2 linked regions of the Oryctolagus cuniculus genome follow. The main gene of each other region encodes a partner of the protein of the gene in region 2 in a complex. Links are inferred from orthologs where the notes say so. Each region holds a gene or a part of one and is shown on either strand. Other genes may lie near its edges.

Evidence for each region.
Region 1: CPSF3 (region 2) and CPSF4 share a complex: the UniProt entries of both Homo sapiens proteins name them as parts of the cleavage and polyadenylation specificity factor (CPSF) complex. The link is inferred for Oryctolagus cuniculus from reciprocal best matches to the Homo sapiens genes CPSF3 and CPSF4.

The regions. Positions count from the first base shown.
Region 1 is NC_091450.1:41,661,211-41,663,736, forward strand, and holds part of CPSF4 (cleavage and polyadenylation specificity factor subunit 4), read left to right. Parts: intron 1-403; coding exon of another isoform or gene 404-472; exon of another isoform or gene 473-760; coding exon 761-1,162; 3' UTR 1,163-2,526. UniProt on the Homo sapiens protein: Component of the cleavage and polyadenylation specificity factor (CPSF) complex that play a key role in pre-mRNA 3'-end formation, recognizing the AAUAAA signal sequence and interacting with poly(A) polymerase and other factors to bring about cleavage and poly(A) addition.
Region 2 is NC_091433.1:192,647,333-192,651,151, forward strand, and holds part of CPSF3 (cleavage and polyadenylation specificity factor subunit 3), read right to left. Parts: intron 3,505-3,819; coding exon 3,346-3,504; intron 2,004-3,345; coding exon 1,857-2,003; intron 617-1,856; coding exon 464-616; intron 1-463. UniProt on the Homo sapiens protein: Component of the cleavage and polyadenylation specificity factor (CPSF) complex that plays a key role in pre-mRNA 3'-end formation, recognizing the AAUAAA signal sequence and interacting with poly(A) polymerase and other factors to bring about cleavage and poly(A) addition.

The sequences.
Region 1 (2,526 bases), on a different chromosome or scaffold from region 2:
GGACAAGGCCCTTGAGAGGCTCACCCAGCAAAGTCGCCTGCTGATCCCGAAGCCTCACCTCGGACCCGCTGGGTCTGAGCCGGCTGCCGGAGGCTCAGTGACAGGTGTAGCTGCACTTGCCCTCCCCTCAGCCCCACCCTGGGTGCTGCTGCCAGTCGCACCGAAGTCTGGGGCGGCTCTGAACGCAGCTGTGACTGCCTGGGGGTTTCCTAGGCCAGAGCCTGCAGTTAAGGGGTCCGAGCCAGGAACCCAGCTGGCTGGGAGATGGCCTGTCAAGTCCCCAGCCAGGAGCCCCCGCCCCCTCTTTCTTGCGTGACTCCCTGGAGGGCCCTCTCAGCCCCTAGACCCCAGGGCAGCGTGGCAGGCTCCAACTGTTTCTCTGTGACTGTTGCTCGCCGTGTAGGCCGCTAAACATCTGGCTGAACCAAGCGTTCATCCTGACCTGAAGCTAGAACCTCAGAAACAAAAGTAAGGCTGACCATGCCCTCGCCCCACTGCCCAGAGACCTCCTCTCGTCTCTTTGATGTTTTGTTTTCCACTTTTATTTTCCGTTTTTGTCTGTCTGCATGGTGTTTTTCGGGCAGCGGCTCCTGCCATCATCACCAGCTGTTTTTCTGCCCTCTGCAGAGGGGCCATGGCGGAAGCCCTTCTTCCTGCTGGCTGAGCGGGACTAGTCCCGCCCTCTTTTTTTCCTGACCCCATCGGTAGTCTGCGTGCACGTGGTTTCCGCAGTAAAACCGTGTTGTGTAACTCTTTCCAGCAAAGTAACAATCCGCCATTACAAAGGTCGTCCTCCTTGATCCAGTTAACGAGTCAGAACTCTTCTCCCAATCAGCAGAGAGCCCCGCAGGTCATCGGGGTCATGCAGAGTCAAAGCAGCAGTGCTGGCAACCGGGGACCCCGGCCGCTGGAGCAGGTCACCTGTTACAAGGTGAGTGTCGGGGCGGGGGGCAGGCTGGGCTCCTCTCTCCCTCATTCCCGAGGTGCATGGTGCATCTTGCAAAATGAAAACCTCTTTGTTTTTGCCGACCGTAAGAGTAAAGTTGGGCCACTGTGGTGGCTGGAGGCCAGCTGCTTCTACCGCCATGCCCAAGGCGAGGTGACTGACAGCATGACGTGCTGCCAGGTGCACTGCGCTTGGAAGAAAGTGCGGGCAGTCTAGGAACAGGGAGAGCAGTCCAGGCAGTGGCCCTGAGGCCCTGGAGGCCGTGGAGGCCTTGGATCCTGCGTGGGCACACCCAAGGGAACAGGACTAAGTGGGGCCCGCGGGGGGGGGGGGGGAGGCCTGGATTAGAACACCCCTCCTGTTCCCCATCTCCCATACATTAAATGAGATGTTACAGGGAAAGAGTGAACTTAAAGAACCTACTAGAAAACCTGTTTTTCTTATTCCTGCTCTGGGTGGGAAGGAGGGGAAATCCCTGGAGAGTGTGCAGGTGCTGTCTGGCTTCCTGTGAGTCTGGGGCCTGTGCTCACGACCCCGGTGAGGGCTCAGTCACTCCGGGGTGGCATGCACGTGGCAGGAGCGACCCCCAGTGCTCTGAGGAGTATGTTGTCAGCCAGGCCACACACAGTTCCCCCAGCTAAGGGCTCCAAAGGATGAGTTTATGACTAAAAGTCACAAATACAGGGAAACAAGCTCCACGAGTGAGTCACAGAAAGAGCCCGCAGAACTAGACCCACAGAGACTGCAGCTCCCGGGCCTCTAAACATAGAATACGGGATTAGTACATGCTGTTGGTAAAGGGTTTGTACAAGACCGTCTACCCTGTGTAGGGGACAGTGAGTACTGTCCTTCAGAGTTCTGGTGTCACACTTTGGTTCCCTTAAAGGAGAACACATCAGGGACCCCACGCCATGTTTAGAAACTACCGTTCCTCACACAAGTTCAAGTCTAATAGCGATTTTAGTACAGAGCCCTGGCGTGCACAGCATTCTGCAATCTCTTTATAATATCTGCGGCTGCCTCCATAGCAGTGTATAGAAATGTGATCTCTTCCAGCGACTGCGTTACAGCGATCACAGCTCACTTCCCAGTGCTCTGTGGGTAGACGCTTAACAGTTGTGCTGCTGATGGCGGTGCTGAATCTGACACTTGGCCATTTCTGGAATCTTGTCTGACGATGGTGTTGCAGGCCATGCCTGTAAGAGGCAGGTCTGAGTCCGAGGGCTTACTTAAAGCCTTGCTAGAACTTGCCCAACAGAAAGGCTGCGTCCTGGGACACTCCGGAGGCCATCAGGTTATTCACGGAGCCCCGGCTCCGCCGAGAAGTTGGATCCTGCTGTGGCTCTTTCCTCGGAGGAGTCTGCATGAATGAAACTTGGGTGTGTGCATTTAGGGAGTCTCCCTAGAGACTTCTGGGCTGAGCCCTGGCCTGTGAGGAGCACAGCCAGCCTCCACGGCGCAGGGAGAGCCGGCATTTCACCCCATCCCCACCCAAGATGTCCAGCAGGGCTTCCTCTGTGAGGCCACCTCTAGGCCTCGAATCTTAGAAAGGCGGGGGGTTTGGGGCACCCGACTTTACC
Region 2 (3,819 bases):
GCCACAGCAGAGAGCTGGCCTGGAAGAAGGGCAACCGGGACTAGAACTTGAGTGCCAGCAGGCGGAGGATTAGCCTAGTGAGCTACGGCACCGGCCTTAATTTATTCTAACATATCACATACATGTTCAGAGACACGGGCCTAGTTTTAGATTCCTGGGGAGAATAAGAGCTAGAAGCCAATATTATACTGGGTACAGCAAAACCAGCAATGAGCACGCGTTTACCCTCAGTGAGGGAAGGACAGCACAGGCGGTGTGGATTAGAGTTACCCACCAGACTCTACGGCATTAAGATCTAACCAATCTGGAAACTTCCCATCTGAAGAAGAATCAGTGGACCCAGAAGGAGCCTAAAAAGCACAAACTAAAATTCCCATAGGCAGAAACAGGCACAATATCGTGATGTGCACAAAGGAGGCTTATCTTCAGAAAGCAGAGAGGATCAGGCGCCAGGAGCCTCTACCTTAGCTAGCTTTTCTCCTCTGAAGTTTAAGGTCACTGCTTCTGTGTTCCGAGGATTATGGACCTCTATGTGAACTTCATCGTTGTCCTCATACTCTCGAATCAGGGCTGCTTTCAACCTGGCCATCTCATTCTGCTCTCCATGGACCAAAATCTATACAAAATAGAAGTTAAAAGGGCACAGAGAAACGTTCTTTATTCAGACGAATGACGGCCCGTTCCTGAATTAAATACATGAAACAGAGACACACTGGGAGCTGCGAAACTGCTTTTCCTTCTCCAGCCTTTGCCACTGAGAAAGCCCGTGACTTTTCCTGTTTCTGCGCTAACACTGGTCAAGGGCTGACCAGCAGACTCGTCCCTACCACCTCCCGTGCATGATTCTTGTACAGAACCGTTGCTACTTTACTCTCAAGAAGCTCCTACAGCTTTCTCAAGTTTTTACTCTAAGACTTCCAACAGAAGCTTTCTGTGAGGATAAAACAAACGGATGTTTCTTCCGTGTAATAAGCAACATCAAAGAAATATTTCAGAACTAACAGAAGTGCTCTGGAGGAGGTATTTACGAGTATGCGTTAACTGCCAGTCTCTCCCTGTCCCTGTTACAGTATCTGTTTACAAGACAGAGCAGCCTTTGCCTGCAGACCCTGCTCACGGTTGTACAGCATTACTAAATCACTAAAGCCATGAATTACACACCTGAAATTGTTAAATTACAAATTCCATTTTATATATATTTGAACAAAAGTGTTTACAACACTAACCAACGTCCACTTCCTCTATACTACTTAATACAGACATGTTTTTAAGTGTTCTTCTAGTTAAAAATACATATTTTTTTCAGCTTACTCCTCTCCTAGATCCCACTAAGATACATAACTGTTTCATTTATGACTGCATGAAACTTAAGAATATAGACAAGCTGTACTAAGAAGACGCTATTCTATGATTTATCTTTCCCCCTCTCCTGACCACCCTTGCACTGCCTGTCTGGTGTTGCTAAGCACCCATCTGCTCCTGGCACCCCATCCGGTGCTGTGGAAACACGGCCCCGTTCAGCCTTCCCGACAGCTGCACGCAGGGCTATTCTCCCTACGGACATAGCAGGTGGAGTGGCTGCGTGGCCTGCCCAGGGGATGGCGCTGAGGGGAGGACGAGCAGCCGCACTGCACCGGGGAAGCAGCCAGCCCCAGCAAGCACACGAAACTGGGCTGAGAGGTCCAAACACGAGCAAGTGCGCGGCTTGCCCAGGACAGGGCGCCGAAACCACGCCCAAGGGCAGACGCTCTGTTCACCACAATGGCGGGCAGTGCCTGTCTGTGAACCAGCTGCTGCCTGGTTTCCTGGGTAAGCTTTTCCCACTAGAACATTACAGATCAAATCCACACACTAACCACATGAGGCGGTTTCAAAGCACGAATAAATTCACTGGTTTGTTGGTAATCTGTGTGAGCAGAGAAAGAAATGTAATCAACAGACATTTTCAATGGTAGCTTCTGTCCAGACATGGTAGTAATTTCTTCAGGTTCAGACATGATATGCTGTGAAAAACAAAGACAAATCACAAAATAAAGCAAACAAACTCTCCAGTTAGGAAAGAGGAGGTGCACGTAGCCATTCAACTCTCAGGGTAATGTGGGACCTTCAGCACAAAACACATTTGAACATTGTGACTCAGAAATTAAATGTTCATTTTCCTCATCAGGCAAGCAATTAGCAAGGAAAATACATAGATTAATGAAAATTCAATGTTTCGGGAGTGCTGGCAGTAAAAATCTCAAGTCTTATGATTAGAAAGACAAACCTGTATTCCCAACTATTTTTTTGCTCTAAAAATTCACTTTTCAGATACAAGGACTCATATAAAGCACAGATGTAATTCTATTCTAGAAATCTACCTTAAATACATGGCCAATATTGTTTCTAAAGGACTTTGTAGAATTAGGCGAAATAATAAAAATGATCAAAGTGGGAACCATACCACATTTTTAAAAATAAAATAGATGTGCATGGGAAGAGGGTGAGGAGGTGACTGTGGTTATTCAGCAACTGCCTTTGGGCCTGGCACACCTTTTCCACAGCATCCACACCTCGGAGAACCAGCATCAGTGTTTTATACCAACAGCAGGACGGTCAACCCAGTCCCAACAGCAGGACGGTCAACCCAGTCCCAACAGCAGGACGGTCAACCCAGTCCCATTCCAGGGCTTCTTAAGACAACGCGTTACCGGCCCAACATCCTTCATCTGAAAACCTAAAACCTGCAAACACCTGAAACCCTTTGAGTGTTGGTATGACACATCAAGCAGAAACTTCCATGTCTGATCTCATGTGATAGCCACAGACAAAACACAGGCACTAAAACATTTCATAAAACTGCCTTCCTGTGACGTGTGTGGGATATATGTGAAACACAAATGAATTTCCTAGTTAGATTTGGGTCCCATACCCGAGATATCTCATTAAGTATACAGAAAATGCAAAAAACAAACAAACAAACAAAAAACCAAAAAAACCCCAAAAACAATAAAATGAAATCAATCAGAAATCCAAGCACTTCAGGTCTCAGGAACGTGGGATTAAGAGGCCTTAGTGTGTATTAATGAACCTCCTCTTCACTGCATGAGGGTGTCACATGTGTGCTTGTCTCAGGGAGGTGCCTATCAGTTCTTTCTAACTGGCAAGCGGATGAGCATCTCTGACTTTAATGAGTGTGCCGACCGCGTGGCTCTTGCTGTGCTATTTGGTGCGTGCACAGCTCCTCGCCCAACGCACATCTCTAGCACCCATTTCCATGCTCACTTTAAAAGGTCAAAATTAAATTAATGAACTACTTTGGTGGGAAAACCTCTGAGGGTCCCGAGAGCCCAAGACGTGACTGACCTTGGCAAGCGTGCCTTCCACGCAGTAGCCTGCTATGATGACGCCGTTTCTCTTGTCGGTGCACCAGCTTTCAAAGAGCTCTCTGGACAGGCCGCTCTGCATCATGCCCGGTGAGGCCATGACCACGCTGGGGCCGATGTCGTCAAAGTGGTCCATGCTCTGAGGGAGAAGGGGCAAACGCACACCAACCACCAGGCTTGGCAACGTGTTCTTCATTTTTAAACAAGGATCTAAAGTTAGGTGAACGATTAATCATACTCCTGAAGGGTCTTTGCAAGACTAGTAGACATTCTAAGTCCAATCGTTGAGTTCTAACAGTTTAGCTGGCACAATAGGTAAAGTTGTTGATAAAAAGCAGGAAGTCAGCACTGATCTGCAAAACCTACTTGGACCTAACGGGCCACTAGGATATTTTAGTGCCAGCAGGCAGGCGCGAAAGGCCAAGGAGAGTCCAGGGGGTCTCCACCCACCCAA